Linked DNA regions of Caenorhabditis elegans. The protein of the gene in region 1 purifies or fractionates together with the protein of each later gene. This does not show direct contact. Each region holds a gene or a part of one and is shown on either strand. Other genes may lie near its edges.

Region 1 (9,113 bases):
TTTTTTTTTCAGGAGGAAATCCAAAAGCGACTGTCACTTCCTGCAGATTTGCGTCTTCCGGTTGCAGTTGTCGACAAGCTTAACAGAACACCAACATTGGATCAACCACTGACACGAAAGAATCGAAGAGCATCACTCAGTGAAATTGGCTTTGGAAAATTAGAGACTTATGAGAAATTGGATAAACTCGGTGAAGGGACGTATGCTACCGTATTCCGAGGAAGATCCATTTTGACGAACAAGTTTGTGGCACTAAAAGTGAGTATTCAGAGACAAAAAAAAGATTAAATTTCAAGATGAGAATAGGAAATTAATTTCCACTATGACATCAAGCTTCCGCTTTCGGTTTTATTACTTGTATACCAATTTTTATGTCCAACACAAATAATTTTCCAGAAATAGGAATTTTAGCTTCTTTTTCAAAAGAAAAAAGTGTTAAAAAACGTAATTTAATGTTTTCGTTCTTATAAATAAAATAAAAAACAAAAAATAAAGTCAGTTTCATTATATTTCTCAAAATTTTAAAAATTATCATTTACAAAACACATTTTTCAGGAAATACGTTTGGAACAAGAGGAGGGAGCACCATGCACAGCGATTCGCGAAGTTTCGTTATTAAGGAATCTTCGACACGCGAATGTTGTTACTTTACATGATATCATTCATACGGATCGGTTATTAACATTGGTATGTTATTTATTTTTAGAATAAAGAAAATGAAAGAATCTGAAAAAGATTCCCGATTATTTATTTTCGATTCATAAATTTAATTTTGAAGGTATTCGAGTACGTGGATCGTGATCTGAAGCAATATATGGATTCATGTAACAATGCAATGCAAATGAATAATATTCGACTCTTCCTTTACCAACTTCTTCGAGGACTCGCCTACTGTCATCAACGAAGAGTTCTTCATAGAGATTTGAAACCTCAAAACTTGTTGATTACTGCAAAAGGAGAGCTTAAACTTGCGGATTTCGGACTGGCACGTGCCAAGTCCGTACCGACAAAGACGTATTCAAATGAGGTTGTCACATTATGGTATAGGCCACCAGATGTTCTTCTTGGTTCCACTGATTATTCGACACATATTGATATGTGGGGTGTTGGGTGTATATTGTTTGAGATGATTGCTGGAAGAGCTCTTTTCCCAGGTGGTACACCAACAGAGCAACTTGGACTCATTTTTAGGTGAGTATTAATTTTTTGCATCCAGTTTCATCTTTTTCGTTTAAAATCTTCAAATTTTTAGTTTCTGAAGATGTTTAAAAACTTCAAACTATTACGTAGATGTCTAAAATTGAAATTTTTGTCATATCTTACCCGCGTGGGTCTCACACAATGACAACGGGTTACGGTAACTCATGTCGATATGGGCCTATATTGCACTATAATTTCCGAATTAAATGAAAAATTGCTGCCAAGATTTTTTACATTAAAATGTCGAACATTTTAAAAACAAACTCAAAATAAATAAATCTTCAGAACACTTGGATCTCCTCGACCGGATCGACATCCGACAATATGCGAAAAGCCAACATTCTATCCATACGCTAACAGACATTACAATCCAGATCCACTTTGCCGTCAAATTCCACGGATTGATGCTCACGGATTCGAATTGCTCATGAAATTCTTACAGTACGAAGGAAAAGATCGAGTGTCGGCTGCTGAAGCTGTGAAGCATCCGTTCTTGAGGACGATCGCTGTGAAGGTAAATATCAGTTCTAGATCGGAAGTTTATTGAAAATTCAACAAATTTCAGTGTTGCCACCTGCGAGATGAGCAATCTGTCCTAGAAGCTGATGGTATTCACATTGAAAGGGAACTTCTGGCATCAGATCATCATCACAGCTCTCGTCGTCATCATCGTGGAACTCTTGTAAAAGATAAATATCGAATGCATTCGAGTCATCACACTTAGAAATAATTTTCTCAACAAAAAAAAACATATTTAGAATTAAATTTGTTTCTTTTTTCCCCATTTCATCTCAGATTGTGTTGCACTTTTACGGGTTCTTGTCAACCAATTCCGATTCGTTTCCTCCCAACCAAAATGTCCTTCCAATGCGGTCACTTATAGATCAAGATGTTTATGAAACATGTTTCCTAATAATTTATTGTGTAATATTTTCTCTTCATATCCCGAGACTCCATCATTCTTCTTAGAATTTTTCCCGTTGTTTCCCGTAACCAGTAATAGCGATTTTCAAATTTACATTTTCTGTTCATAAATCACACAAAAATCTACAAAAAATCATCTCATAATCTCAATTTGTTCCCAAAAAGCACACAGAACCATTTTTTTTGCTATTTATTTTAGCCGTTATTCTTATTGTACACCTGTGAATAAACAAGCTCTACCCGGAAAGCTTCTACTTCTCATCGAATTGGAAACAAAAATTATTTATGTGGATACCCAGAAAAATGATAATATGCAAAAAAATTATGAGCGTTTCTGCTGTAAGTCTAAAAAGGGACAATGGTTTTGGATGAGAGGGGAGCATCACAGAAAAATCTACGGGAGAAAAACAAGAAGACTGGTTGAGTTTTAAAAGTTTGTTGGTATTTCGGGTGTGTGGAAGGGGGCTTACGAAGAGAAATTCACACGGAATAGGCACTGATTTGGAGAAAAAAAAAAACTAAATGCACAAGTTTTACAAATTCGTCACTTTCAAAATGTATGATAATTTATCTTGGAAATTGACGATTCTGTAATTTTTCAAATCAAGAATTGTACTTGAGGGACTAAAATTACCCTGTTTCACACGGGATTTGCACAGAAAAAGGAAACGAAAAATGGAAGGAAAACAAGTTTAATGAGATAATTTAGTCTAATCTGACCATTCATTTTTGTCATCTTCATCGTCATCATCATCACTAGTATCATCTATTCCCATATTCATTCGACGTTCCTCAAGAGCCTTTGCTAGTGCTCCAGCCAATCCTCCCATTCCAGCGGCTCCAGAAGTCGTACTCTTTCGACGTTCTTGCTCAGCAGCTGCATCCACCTAAAGTTTAAAAAAATTGGAATCAATAGTAATTTTCGGTTAAAAATTGTCTTACATGTTTTAATTGTGCTCCTTGTCGAATTTGGGCCATCACATCTCCACGAGCATCACCACCAGCCGATTTTGGTGAATCTGCAGTTTGTTGAACGGATCGAAGTTGTTTTCCAGCTTGGATTTCCTGAATACAAAATTCAATAGTGAACATTTTTAAAAGTATACTAACCGCTAGCAAATTCGATCTTCCATCCTGAGCAGGTGGTAGTTTTGCGAGCACCGATGCAGGTCCTCCGGCTCCTGAAGGTGGTGGTGGAGGTGGAGGGGGTGGAGCTCCTGCTCCTACTGCTGGCAATCCCATCGGTGGTGGAGGAGGTGGTGGTGGAGGAGCTGCGGATGATATCGGAGCCATTCCAAATGATTGTGGTGGTGGAGGGGGTGGAGGTGGTGGAACCGCATGTGGTCGATTCTCTGGGGTTCCATAGTTGGGCGCCTGAATATAAATTAATTTTTTTCAGAAAATCACTCTCCGGTTACTTACTTGAGGTAAAGGTCTTGATGGTGCAATTCCACGGGTACCAGATGACGGTGGTGGAGGAGGTGGACGAGCTGGAGCCAATCCATGAGATTCGACACGTGTTGGAGGTGGAGGAGCGGCAGGTGTGGAATATGATGAAGCACCGCTTCCAATCGGAGCAGATGATGGGAATGATGGTTTGTATTGACGCACTGGTGTTCTGAAAATTTTTTTTTCATTTAAAAATAAAACTTTTTTGTTATCGTATTTCTAATATGGCTGAAATACGCCCTCACCAAATGCAACACTAATTTCATTTCTAATATTTCTAGTATTTATATTAAATATTTCATAATATTTCTGGTTCTCAGCTACAAAAAACAGTAGTCGTAAAATATATTCAAGGGTTAACTGTAACAGAAACATATTACTTTTAACTTTTTTTGTAAGTTTGCGGAAAAAAAACTACATCGAAAGCATTTCGGGGGAGAATAATTGGGATTGCGTTGCCATTACTCTTTTTCATGGTCCGACATCTACCGGGTTTCGACTCACACAGCGCATATGCATGTATCTTCACAGGGGCGAAACCCAGTAGATGTCGGACCATAATTAAATTTATTTTTTCTGGTTTGGAGTTATTTTTTTCCGAAATGAAAACAAAAAAACTAACTGATTCCATGACTGATTCATCTGTGGATGTTGCTGAATTGGTGGTGGAAGAGGTGATGAGATTTGTGATGGATCCAAACTTCCAACAGATACATATTTATCATAGTTCTTGGCAATGAATTTTTTCACGAATTTCTTATCATCCTCATTCAGATTATTGCTTTCCAATCCAGCAGCCTTTAGAATATTTTTAGTAGCTTCATCCATATCATCGTCGTAAACTGTATTCGAGAATCCACTATCCTGATTCCATCCAACATGAGCTTTATGTCTGAAATATTTAGTTTAATTTAAACCATTAAAACGGAATAAATCTCACTGAAAGTTTGTTGGATTAGAAATATCCTCTTTCTTAATTTTCGATTTTTTATCCTTCTTTTTGTTTTTATCTTTCCGGAACCATGATCCACTACTGCTAGCATTTCCATCTGTAAATATTGAAAATATTTAATTAAAATTAATGTTATTTTTTGAAGAGATTTCTCACCAAATTTATGTAACAATCTTTTCAATTTATTAATCATTAAAATATGAGCAAATTTTGCAAAGTATGCATAAGAAATGAGATATAAAATGTGATTTTTTTTAAGTTTACGTAATTTTATTCAGAAATTCAATTACTGACTACGAGAACATCATTTTTCAATTTCCAAAAAAATATTCACCTGTATGTGTATGTGATTGTGGTGCAGCAGCCATAGTTCCCATTTGTGTTATCCCTTGACCTCCGCCAATTGCCATTGGAGGTCCTCGAATTGTTCCTCCATAAGCCTGTGTGATTTCGAATTGTCGTGTTGGAGTGGATCCGATTCCTGAAATAATAAATTATTAAATATAGAAGTTCTCACTGTCAAGTGCTCTGTTCTTTTTCATTTCAATTCGATCACCCAATCAGTTAAAAATCATCTTTCTCTATTCTCCAGCATTTCTGCTCAACAATGATGTTCATGTGCTCTGAGCGCTTGAAGCCGATCAAGTACTCGGTCGGCGGTGCTCATAACATGACATGAACACAAATAATCGGTCCGAATTTCTCGCCATCCTGGGTTGGATGTTTGCTTTCCAAATTTGTGTGAAAAACTCTTATAGAACCAGATTCTGTCTATCAAATTGATCAACTCAAAGAAAAAACGATAATATGGAAAGATAGTGATCAAGTAAACAAAAATATTATGATAAAGTGCAAATACACATCATGAGTTCAACTTGTTGACACTTCCTATACTTTTAGAAGTTTCGAAAAACTAAATTCGTTTTTAAATTTTCAAGCTTCACAAGCTGTGTAATTTTTGGGAGATTTTAAAAGGTTTTAGAAACTATTGTAGAAGAGTAAAAATGATGAGGTGAAGATTCAGACATCAGAATATTTAAAGTCTGTAAAACAAACCATTAAGCGAAATTGATGTCGAACTAGAACTTTTCTTCACTAATCGATGCCTTGCAGGTGGATGAGATGGAATTGGTGGTGGAGTATCTGCTTCTACAGATGATGGTGTTGCACTGCTACTCTCTGTACTACTATCACTTCCTCCAGAACAGTAGATAGGTTCTTCTTTCTTTGTGACCATAACAGATACTTGACCATTTGATCGATGAACTAATACGGAATCAGAATGAGGTGCAGGATCAGGATTCATCGATACTGATTCATAATCGTCGTCTTCGTCACCGAAGTCATCCGTATTGAATACGTGTCGAGAACTCACATAGTCACCACGAGATACTGGTTCTTCTGGGATATGAAATCGTACCTTATTTCGAGAAAGTGGGGGTGAATAGTCTGGATCAGGACTCGGAGCTCTATGTCGACGAGGTTCTTGATGATGATGTGATGATCGATGACGAGGTCGGAATGCTAGCTGCTGTTGTTGCTGCTGATGATGTTGCTGTTGTAGTTGCTTTTGTTGATTGTGATAGTAATAGAATGCATCAGCAGATATTGGAACATAACATCTTGCATAGTTCTGACGCCTTGCATATGTACCTGTGGATCCTCCATACCTTGTTGAATATACTGGATCTTGGTATTCTGCAGATGAGCTTGTTGAGCTTGACGTGGAATCAGGACCTCCATAAGTCGAATAATCATTTACATTGTCATATTGTTCCATTTCATAATATCCTCCATTTGGTAGAGTATGACTCCGATGGGTAGTACGAGGTGAGGATCCCATAGAATCAGGGAAGCTAGAGCATCCTCCACGTGCAAAACGTTGCATATGGTTATGGTGAAGATGACCGCCAGTACCGGAAGAGGAAGTGGAGGATGGAAAGGACGAATAAATTTGAGCCGCCGACGAAACGGTTGACGGTTTATTGGACGACGGATTGGTTGTCGCAGACGGTGGCGGAGGGTGGGAAGGAGGAGGAAACGATTGAGCGACCGGCAGGTTGTGGTACTGATAGCGGAGGCGGCCGGCCGGATCCTCGCTTACCACCATCCACATGTTATTATTCTTCGAATGGCTACTACTTCTGATACTTCTGAAAGAAGGCGAAAAAGATCGTCGCAAATTATGGAGATGAAAGCGAGAGAAAAAAGAGTATATGGGAAATGTCGAAAGGTGACGTTTATGGAATCGAAAGCTGTGAGAATCGGAATTTTCAGGTCATAAAATGAAGGAATGGAACAAATTCACTTGAGATATCCGAGTGATGTGTGAAACAATTGAAAGGAGAGATGTATATAAGGGTTCCAAATTATACCTCTAGTTGACTTCGAAAATGGGCATTCCAAAAAATGTTGCATATTTACGCAAGCATAATTTGTAACATCCTATTCTTCAAAAAATCTTGCTGAAGTCTGATGAAAAGTGAATTTGGAAAAAAAAACGTTTGCATTTCTAAATCTTTTAAATTGCCATGACTTTCTGATTGGCGTACAAGCACTTAGTGATTCGAACGGATATTCAGAGAATCATAGAAACAGAACGAAATGAAAACCGTCATAATACACATCATTATTGTATACCGTTTCGCCTCTTCACACCGTTCGGCTTCTCTCCCTCTAATTTTCTCTCTCGCCCAATCGTTTCGATTCGGAATCAAATTACACAACACACTACCACAGTTTGGCGGCAGTGAGATGTGCATATTGACAGAGGAAACAGATGTAAATATTAATTGAATTCCTAACAACTATCTATTTCTATTCAAAAAATGATATTTTTTACATATTCCAAAAATTTTCCATGTAAGAAATGAATAGTAAAAGTGACCGAAATGATGGGGCGAAAACTGTGGGGAGGTGAACTGAAGCACTTCTCTTCTCACGAGAGTTAGGCGGAGTCAACACCGATGAGTATGTGTATGTGTGTATGTGCTGCCCTGAACCTCTAACGGAGAGAGTCTCAATATAGTTAAACATTAAAAAACTGAGAAATAATAAGATAATGTTTCTATTAGTTTGTGACTTAGGTGTCAATGTGTGGCTACCAGAAATACTTTGTAAGAAGTATCGTAATTTTTTTCTTGAGTTTACAGTACTTTTATAGTAAACGAGACACCGTTCTTAAGGGTGATCCTTCAAATTTAAAACAGCGGTAAGACTGAAAAAACTAAGATTTTACTTTTTTGTTTGAAAGCGTGTACTTCAACACAAAAATTATTCAATCATCGTTTGACTACTGTCACACCCGCTAACAACAACACGTAGGAACAGCTACACCTCTAGACGTCAATAATGACATTCGGAAAACGGAAGGAACAGCCAGTTTCACTTATTATTAAATAATTTCTACACTTTTTTCACATCTGCTTGTGTTCTGTTAACAGATTTTAAAGATATACTATGTTTCAAAAATAACCTGCGCCAAATACAAAACTATATACGAAAACCTAATTATAACTTCCTCTCAAGTGTCGACTTCTCAAAAATTAATGCATGAACATAATACAACCGCATAGGATTGCTGCAGAAGAAGAGATGGAGACTTGAAGCACTATTGTAAAAAAGAGAAGAAAATAAAAAGTATGAAAACCTTATAATTGAACCAGTGCTCGTTCTTTGTTCAGATTGAACATTGTAGAGCACAAGGCACGGGTAAGATCACGTAGATCTCCATTGAATCCTGTACTCGTCTTGTCCTACTCCTTGCTCTTTCAAGTGGCCCGCTTTTCACATGCGTCGATTGAAAGTGGCTCATGCTTTAGAGGAACACAAAACTGAGATTCATGATAGGTCAGAACAAATTTCTATTTTTTCAAATAGAATTTTATAGATTGTAAGCAATATAACTTCGAATCAAGTGACACATAATGACATATCGTATTGTAAGTTAGGAATACAGTAGACTACAGTAAGACCATTCCGAGATATCAGGTACGTTTTAATAAGTTTCAATTTCAACTTTTTTTTCCGATTATCTATTATAGTAAATGACAATTTGTATTAATTTCAATGGATTGGTCATTTCAAAAAATTACCGCTCCAGAATAATAGAATAGAATAATACGATCGAGATCAAAAATAAGACCAACAAACGTCGAACAATTTTCGAAGAAACCAAAAGTTGAAAAATTGGAAAAGTTGAATAAAAGTCGATAAATATGCCAATAGACTGTGATATGTAATCTTCTTTTCCACTCTCTCAATCTTTTGCCCTCAAAGCCATTCGTCCAAGAAAACAAACAAAAAGTCTTTTGAGCAGCTTGTCTTTTCGCTTTCACCTGTGTCCCGCCTTTCGTCTGCCAACCTTTTTTACACGAAACTCATCAGGTCGGATTAAGAGGGCGGCTTACCCGATGTTGGTGTTGAAAAGTGGTGGAAGCAAGATTCTCGGACGAAGGGACAGTAAATGAGGGAGAGAGAGGTCAAAGAGACAAGGTCAAACTAGGTATTCAACAACTTTTAGGACAACAACATAAGACGAACATTTAAATGAGGACGCTTTTTGAGTGACTGTGTGTTCAGAGGATGA
Region 2 (9,578 bases), on another chromosome or scaffold:
TAGAAGATTCACCTATTGGATCTTTACTCTCTGCCACTTGCATCACACAAAAATCATTTTCTTCCATGTTAACCTTCCTTGTCTTATTGCCCCCCCCCCCCCCCCCCCCGCCTACTATTTTCAAAATTTCCTTCCCTTAACTTTAACTCGACCCTACCCAGATCTCCTGAGAGGGCAAAAAGAATGAGACATTACTAATGATCACTGTTCCCAATCGTCCATCCTGCATACCTAACCAGACCATCTTACCATGTGTCTCAGGTCACACCGTTGCCGTTTTGCGTTCCCCATATTGCTACTGACTTACGAGTGTGAAGAGACCCATTGGTAAAAGAGGAAATCTCTGTTTTTTTTTCTTTTTTTCTTTGTTTTGAAATATTCGTTACCCACTGTTTTAGGACGAATCCCATTTTTTTCGATTTTCCTCTTTGTGATGCTATCCACTTTAGGATAACCCGAATTATTATTACTTCGCACGGGTCTGGGGGTAGCACCAGGTATTCTTCACCTGTCATATGTATAATCCAACCGCACACCAATCACCTCATCTGCTCTTTTTATGTCTCCTTCATGTTTTGATTCTCCAATTTGAAACCAAAATAATACATATTTTATTCCCCGAACACATGCAAACTTGTCAGACATGTTCAATGTAGAAAGTGTCAGAAAATGATCAACAGCCTTTAATGACGGAGAAAACGTTGATACAAACACACGCGTAGTTACTTTTTGCCTTATGTTATAAAAAAGAAAATCTCAATTTGAGAATATTCTAAAAAAAATGTTCAGTTAGAGATAATACCAATACTTGAATTTTGAGTTAAAACTGTCGAATTGCCATATTTGCCGAACATCTAAAAAACGCTACCAACTATAAATATAAAACATTATAAAATTAATAATATAAACAATAAAACTACCACCTATTAATTTTCAATTTTTTTTGCCGATTAACAAATTAGCTTGTTTGCAAATTTACAAGTTTGCTACCACAAAATAATTTGAGATGAATTGCCAGTTTACAATTAAAACCACAATCAAATAAAAGTTATTAACCTTGTTTTCAAAAATTTAAACCGCTAGAAAAATGTTGGTAAATTTGTTTAAAAGTTTTATTTCAAAATGTGTTAATTAAAATTTTGGCAAATTTAAGAAATGTAAAGCATTTCCACAGTTTCAGACCGCTACAAAGTAAAAAATTGTTAAAAGCTTTTTTGGTCAATTTTTTAAATTATAATTGGCAAAAAAACTCCAATTTTGAATTTATGATAAATTTAAAATTTTAACAACAAAAATGTGAAGAATTTCGGATACTCTAAAAAATATTTATAAAAACCTTCAATAATGTCATGTTTCATTTCACATCCGGAAATCGCGTTGTACAAAAATTGAAACCTGAAAAATTGTAACAATTAAAAAAATCTGAAATATGCCCACTTGAAAATTCATTTACAGTTATCACATATGGCAATTGGAATTGAAAATAATATTCTGAAACAACGCAGCGTTGTGAAGTGGAGCAAAAGACAATTGAAGAAGAGATGAATGGAAAGTGTGAGTTAAGGACAATTATTTGATAAAATTACAAACTTGAATGAAAAGAAAAAGAACCAAAGAAAAAATGAGAAATATATCTGAAACCGTGATCAACCGTTCAATTTATCAAAAACGGCGGATGGCAAATCAGTAAACATATCTAAACACAGGGCTAGTGATAGAAATGACGAAAGAGATTTTCACTTGCTTTGTCCAGAAAAAAAATGGATTGCTGCAAAGAAGACAAGAAAACAACAATTGTTAAGAATGAGCTTATAAGAATATTGCATTGAAATTTTGAACAAGTAGTTTACTTGGGAAGAGGACCGGTCAAAAACAGCTTCTCCGTTGGCGACGAGAAAATTGGGCTGGTTGTGTAGTGATTGATAAGAGCATTCATGTCCACAAACGTTCGGTTTCCAATTTTCAGGAGACCATCCACGTTTTGCACTTTGAAATGCTTGTTGCGTTCGATTCCGCGCATTGAGATCGACAAGTCTCCAGGCTGAAAAAAATTGAATTTAATATTAAATGGTTGAAAATATCCATTTTTGGTATTGTCTTCCTAGCAATATTCAAATGGGATACTGTCAATGAAGATTGATTTTAATTTAGATTGTATTCTGATCAGAATGAAAGCGTATTAACTGTAATATATAGTTTGGAGTGAAAATGTTCAAATCAAACGCTAGAACGTTTTTTTTTCCTTTGCGGTCCTTGATTTTGGTAATTAATTTCGTAGTATCTCGGTCATTTGCTGCCATTTTTAAACTAATTGTAGCCTCTTGCCAGCCTTCATTCTTTTGGATTTTTTTTGCACTAAGTTTAAAATAAAACTAAATTTAACAACTTCTTAAACAACTTGAATCTCCTTATTCGTCGATTTTAGTTTTAAAACCAATATTAGCAACTTTGTGACTATACTTCACCAACTTTGGCAACTGTTTGAACAACTTTAGTATCCCACAACTTCTCAACCAACTTTTGCAACTTCTGAAATTGGCATTTCTAAAGTTGCTAGGAATGGTTGAAAGCTTGCGACTATTTGGAAAGACACCGTTTGAAAAATTCCAAAAAATGCTCACATTGCTCTCCGAATCTCTGACCAGAAACTCTCCCTCACGACCATGTAGTAGAAGATCTTCAGCACGTTCCCTCGAGATGCGTCCAAAATACCACGGCTGTTGCTCCATCGGAATTTCTCCGTTTCCTGAATATTGCGGTGCGAAATCTTGATGTGAAGCTTTGCTGGATGATGAGTCGTTGACCACCTGAAATGTTCTAATTGTTTCAGATTCGGGCAATTTTTCTCGGAATTTTTAGGCGATTAAATGCACTACCTCAATGTAATTTCTTGGCACAAGCCCTGTGGTTCCACTGGCGTTGCGCGCCATCCACCAATCGGGGTCATGTTCTGGATGATCCACGATTTCGAGCCGTTCTCCTTTTTTGAACGATAGTTCTTCAGATGATGATGCGTCGAACGAGTACAATGCAACGACGACCTGAATCTATGAAAATGATTATTAAATTGCATTGGGGTAAATCCTACTTCAAATGAAGACCGTGACGCCTGGAGCTTCGGCGGTGGTGCTTGCATCATTATGGGCGCTGGAACTGCTGCAGCTGCTGGGTTTCGGTTCTCAATGCTTCCCTGATTTCCGTTTGTCGAAGCTTCAACTTCCTCCACATAGTTTGACGGGAACCATCCGACTCCTCCATTCGGTGCTTCTCCCTTCCACCACCCATCTGTGCTTTTCTCGACGACATAAACGAAATCTCCTTTTGTGAGACCGAGCTCATCTTCAAGTCTTGGCTCGTAAGTGAATTTCACCACAGCTTTCGTTTTCGAGCTCATCATAGGAATCTGAAGAAAAAAACGTTGGCGGATTAAAATAAGTTATGATTGAAAAGCCTGTCAAACCTTATTGGATGATGGTGTCACCGCACAGTTGTTATTCAAGCTGAACGCTAGACGCGCGATGCCGTTTAATCGCTCCTCCTGAAAAATCAATTTCAACAACAAAAAAAGTACTAAAATTAGAGATTTTCGCTTAAATTGAGCTTTTTTTCAAAATTTTGAAGCGCCATAGAAATTTTAAAACCATTTTTCTCATTACGAAATTTGTTCATCTGGAGTCTAAAAAATTTCAATTTTCCAAAATTTCCAAAAAAATAAAATTTTCACTTTAAATAAATTGACTTTATAAAAAATGTAGAGTTCTAACACAAAAGAAATAGTGTATCGTTATGTGAAATCTCTTTTTTTTTTGGCTTACATTAGAAAATATACTATCCTAATCAAAAAGCCTCAAAATTCAAAAATAAAATTTTCACTTCAAATAAATTTATTTAAAAAAAATGTAGGGCTCTAACACAAGTATTAAGTTCGGCAAGTTAGAGGGACGACGCAGATGTTTATTGCAAGGAGGTCTTATGGCACGAGAAAAATCGATAAGGAAGTGCTCTTCCCGCCTAGAAAGCTCACAGTTTAATTAGAAACGTGATCTTAAACGGCGAAAAAAAAAACAAATTTGATGAAGCCGGAAATTCCAAGTTTTTTTTTGGAGGCGCTACGTGGCCAGTAGCAGCAGCACAGACTCAACCCGCTACCTTCAGTCAGAAATGCAAACAAAGTGAGCGGTTGAGCTCGTAGGCAATGTGCATGCAGCGCCCCACACATCGAAACACGATTTTGGTTAGGGGGTGAAGAGCGGGAGGGGCCCTCAGGCGATTGAAACGTATCGTCAAGACGGAAAAACATAGGAAGCGTTGAAATTTCGCGCGCTCTTGTATACCGAGACTGTCTCATTTGCGCCGAATACATTGTCGCGGGAGAGCCGTATGTATGTGTGTGTGTGTGATAACAGGGCAATGATAGTATGCGCCGCTTGCACACACATGCAAATATTAACGGTTTCGGTCATTTATTACGGAGTTTTTGCCTCACAAAGTTCAGCATATTTCGATTCGAAAATATGATTCGAAAAATTGAGCGTGCCGTTTTGATATTGAGAAGAAGAAAAGCAAAAAAAGTATTTTATGTGGAGGAAGGAAAACGCAAAAAACAGACGAACCTGTCAAAACGGCGAGGAGAACGGGAGAACGCGCGGCGAGGTCTTTTTGGACGGTCTCGAGCAATCAATAATCCTGGGAAAACAGGGGAAGAAGAGTTTGTTAGTTCAGACGATGCGCAGTATCTTACGCGCAAAACACTCAATTAGTTATTGTGGTGATGACAAAATCATTTTTTACTAGAATTTGGGCTATTATATCAATTTTTAATGGAAGCTACAATATTTAAAATAATTAACTTTAAATTTGTAAATGCTATTAGTTAGTTTCATAAAAATTGCAATAAAAAAACCGACAACGAGAAATATTCCTGCCCCAATATGACAAATCATTCTAGAAACTTTTATGGCATTACAAACGGAGCAAAAAATCGATTTTGTTTGCTGTATGATAAGGAAACAAAACTGGAATGTTCTGGGAAGAAAGTTAGTATATCAAAACTAGTTTTAATGTACCTTAAAATTAAAAGAAATAAAGTATCTGTTGGCAATTCTAATTAGAAGTTAATTCAAACTGTTGCTTTCGGCTGGAAGCGCTTGTGTAAATACAAATCTTCCACGTGAAGACTGGTTTTGGCATTTGGAAACAAAAAAAAACTGAGAGTGCGACATTACAGTCGATTATGTTTCGTTTAGTTGTGGCGGCAGTTTGGCGCTTTTTTTGGAAGTGAGATGGGTTTTTGTAACAAAAAAAAACAAAACGAAACACTCACCGGCTCCGGATCTGAGGATCGGTTGCGACCTCGCGCTAAGCCCTTGATTGTTCCTTTTGCTTTGTCCACAATTGATTCTTTTCGCACGTAGTTTGAAGGCACAAATCCAACACTGTTTGAATCGTTCATTACCTGAAGAAAACGGTTTTGATCCGAGGGAAAACAACGTTAAGTGGCTCAATTTATTTTTAAAAAAATTAAGGTTTGTAGAACACTTTTTGATTAGTAGTTTTGCTAATTGGTACCAGGATTTTTTTTTGAGATGTGGAGCAATGTCAGTGCAAGCTTTGTTTAAATGTTGCTAAAATGACCAACAATCATAATGAAACTCTTCAGAATTGTTTTTTGAAATATTTTAATGTGCAGTCAATGTGCAAAATATGGTCGACCAAAACGTTGACTGAAAATTTTGAAAAAATTATAAATTTTTCTGGATGTTTAATGAAAAGAGAAAATTGTAAATTTATATATGATGCTAAAATAACCAAATATTATAGAAAACTGTTCAAAAAATTTTGGAACATTTTTATTTCGAGTCAAAAAGTGGTGAGAACTTACTAATATGTAGATTTCCCCAAAAAGTCGTTGATTAAAATAAATTTCTCTTATTTTAATGTTCTAATTATGCTTAAAACATTAAAATTTCAATATAGCAGGGAATTGAACATGCGACAGTGTTTTAGAGTTCTCGAAAAGTGGATCAAACTGTTTTCACATTTAACCATTAGTTTCAGTATGTTTTCCGTCAATAAAAACTCACTTTCCACCAGTTTTTGCTATCATCTAACAGCTTTAACCGTTCGTTCTTTTTTATCGTCAACTCCTGTTCCTCTTGTGCTAAATAATCGTATTTGACGACCACATAGTCCTCCGACATTTCAAATGTCCGATGTAATACACCCTGTAAAGTGGTTTGGTGAGAAAAATTGCGAATCCATAGCAAAAAACCGAGGAGAACAAGTGGGAAAATGAAATGAATAGGGGATGGATACGCAACTCGTAATTGACGTCGTCTATTCTACCTCCTCACTACACCTACACCTGATAAAATCAACATTAGTGAGCGGAAAAAAGAAAAAGAAGGCGCACTGACGACGTACGCCACATTTTTCTAGGATATATCGGTCAATGTCAATCTGTTCAGAAGTCAGTTAGGCTGTTGGATGTTGGTAGGTCAAAGCGTGTCATGAACGGGTTCCGGAAAGTTTTTTTATTGATTCGAAAGTTATGAAAAATATTAAACTTATAGTTAGTATCAAAAATCTTTTTTTTTTCAGATTAGCACACAGCCGTATCAAGTATGACAAAAAAAGAAGAATGAAAAAGGTGAGATGTGAATAATAAGTAGCATAACGCGGGCAGCATTGCCTATTCAATAATACTATTTTATGGAGTTAGCAAACACATGAATATAGTCATAAAAAGTTGGCGAGGTAAGCAGGATTTTGTTAGAAGGCGTCAAGCGAGAAAATAACTGCAGTAGTTGGGCAGATGTACTTATGAGTCAGGATGCCTTTGAATTTTTCAGCAAGACGGGTGCACTTTCGAATGGCTCAATGGGAAAATGGAAATAATTCAGATGCCTGGCTTTGGCATATAATTACTTCCAGCCAAAGTACCAATAGGAAACCCCACATTTCCTCTGAAAGTGCAAAATCAGGTTTCAGGCAAATTTTATTTGCGCCTGTAAGCATTTCCAAATGGGGAAAATCACGCAAATGGGGAAAGTTTTAGTTAGGATTGTAAGGCCTTTATTGAAAATATATTGATACTTCTGGATTTAATGTTACCCCCAAAAGTGCTAAAGTTAAGTTGTTATATATTTTTCAGACCTCTTTTTCCTACAAATCTAGAATAACTTTTTTCAAGCTCTGGAAATATGATGAAAGTTTTAATTTGAAATTAATTTTTTTAGGGTCTCCTACAAACTTATATACTTATATACCGTTTTTAATTTAAATTTTGATTTTTTGATACTTGGTTGAATTATATTATAAAAGAAAATGCCTTATAATATACCTGCTTGTCGAAAAAGAATACCCATCGTAGTTCAATATGGCCTAGAATTTTTAGAATTTTTAAAATTTCAGTCAACACATTAAACTGCCACACTTAGAAAAAGAACAACAGGAGCGTTTGAATACATTTCTTACTGACGAGACTCCAAATTGTATTAAATTCCACAATTAAGTAATTTTAGAAATACAGATTTTCATATTAAAATTTTAATTTTTTGGAATTTTCCTTTTCAAACCAGAAACGTAATTGACTATGCTCCATTTTGCAAAAGAAGAAAAGAAGAAAAAAAGAAACAAAAAGCAGAGGAAAAACAACCGACAATTGTAGGCAACAATTGTTGGAAGAGCCCCATCGTTTTCTTCGTAGCACACACACACACACACACACACACACACACACACATTTTCGGACAGGACAAGAGTCAATGACAAATGATGGGAATTTTCGGTTTTGAATGGGGGCCAACAGGGGCCGAAATAATGCATTGGAATGCGGAGAAAAGAGAGAAAAGATTGAAGACGGATTGCCAAAATAATGTGCGGAAAATTTGCGAATCTGGCTCAAATCTCAGACTGGAACGACGAGATGGTTTGTGGGGGGATAGATGAAGGATTTACTTGGGAATTGAAAATAACAACAAGATGATCCTTTAAGGGACACTTAGCAATCTGGTCATCGGAGAATAAATATCTAGGGGGGCCCCCCGTCACCAACCAGCGCGGGTATTAGCAGCAGCTGAAGACGAAGAAAAGTAGAAGAAGTGGACGGAGGGACACAACAACAATAACAACGTTCAACCATTACCAATTATTCTGTCTTTTCTCTCACTTTCCCTTACTCACTCTATTCACTATTCTGTTCACATGGAAACACAGAGTCTTTTCAATTTACCAGTGAGTATGAATCATGGATGAATAAGATATCAGAAGAATGGGTGTTTGTAATACAAATAGGTGCATGTTGTTAAAAATGAAGTAGGCGCCTGTAGGAAAATTGTTAGAAGCCACTTTTGTGGTTCAAATGATTAAATATCATATAGTAATTTCGCTAAATTTTGACATATTACTTAAAAGGCGCATGCTGTGAATTTAGTGGTAGGTCTCGTTACGATCCACAAGTGCCAAATTTTACAGATTTGTTCATTTCGCGTAAGAAAAATAAAATTCGAAAATCTAAAATGCACAGAAAAAGCCAAACCTTAACGTGGAATATTTAGCACCAACATAGTTTCACATTTTGGCAAACGGACAATAGTATAACTTATCAAAAATTGAAACTATGCCAAATTAAAATTAAAAAAGGTCTTTCCAAAACAACACCAAAAAAAAAACAATCATACAAGTTTTATACTCTAACTAAGTTGTATTTATATATTGCATGAGTTCAAAATTGTGAAATTGCACTAGTTCTTTCAAAAACTGCAAAATTTTGGCAAAATTTGGCAATTTACCAAAACTTTAACGGAAAATTTTATGTTTTTGATTCTGATATTTGACTATTTCAGATTATTTCAAGTTTTTTTATCATTACCCCACTACCTCTAAATAATAAAAAATGGAAACATTTGTGAATATTCAAATGAGCTAGAAGAATTATTTAATTAAAACGGAATTTAGTATAAACCAGTATTAATAAAATAACGCTTGGGACACAAGATATACATTGAAAAATATGTTACTGGAAAAACATGAAACGTTAGCTTTTCTCAGAAATTGTCAAAAAAAAAAGAAATTCTCAGAACTTTCCTGTAGACATAAAATGTGTTCATTTCTGTACAAAATTTTTGAATTACTAAAATAACATTTAGTATGCAACAATTATATTTAGTCCCAGTCAGTTTAGATATGTTCCAGATTTTTACAAATGGTATATAAAAATACAAAGTTGTTCAAAAAAAAATGACGAGACATATATCAAACTGTAAAACAAAATAATTAGGAAACTAAAGTTTTGGACATATAGTGAATACTGGTAGAAAATGTTTATACCACTATATCAGAAAAAATATAGATTTAATTTATTATTCGGTCTGAAAAATGCAAAACTAAAAATACTGAAGGATGGATCGGATTATAGTTCTACATTTCGTTGGAAATAAAATTCACTGAAATAATCCTCTCTCTTTTCGGAATTCTTCAATAGTTTATTGTCTACTCTCCGCCAAAGATTTCTTCCATCTTAGCAGCGACCAACGATATTCAGTCTTGAGACCGGAATCATAGATGATACAAAAAAA

The links.
Region 2: the proteins of wsp-1 (region 1) and nck-1 purify together in Caenorhabditis elegans (affinity purification with western blotting, with the first as the bait; one study listed by BioGRID). This does not show direct contact.

What each region holds. Positions count from the first base shown.
Region 1 is NC_003282.8:8,186,512-8,195,624, forward strand, and holds wsp-1 (CRIB domain-containing protein), read right to left. Parts: upstream 6,685-9,113; 5' UTR 6,642-6,684; coding exon 5,582-6,641; intron 5,007-5,581; coding exon 4,860-5,006; intron 4,623-4,859; coding exon 4,514-4,622; intron 4,466-4,513; coding exon 4,196-4,465; intron 3,743-4,195; coding exon 3,547-3,742; intron 3,499-3,546; coding exon 3,235-3,498; intron 3,190-3,234; coding exon 3,067-3,189; intron 3,012-3,066; coding exon 2,835-3,011; 3' UTR 2,393-2,834; downstream 1-2,392. Other genes in the region: pct-1 (Cyclin-dependent kinase 17), read left to right, coding at 13-258, 556-687, 779-1,191, 1,486-1,714, 1,766-1,924.
Region 2 is NC_003284.9:4,147,220-4,156,797, forward strand, and holds nck-1 (NCK (Non-Catalytic region of tyrosine Kinase) adaptor protein family), read right to left. Parts: upstream 6,225-9,578; 5' UTR 6,201-6,224; coding exon 6,084-6,200; intron 5,456-6,083; coding exon 5,324-5,455; intron 3,539-5,323; coding exon 3,461-3,538; intron 3,404-3,460; coding exon 3,089-3,403; intron 3,048-3,088; coding exon 2,877-3,047; intron 2,808-2,876; coding exon 2,622-2,807; intron 2,042-2,621; coding exon 1,847-2,041; 3' UTR 1,434-1,846; downstream 1-1,433. Other genes in the region: ZK470.2 (Growth-regulating factor), read left to right, coding at 1-3.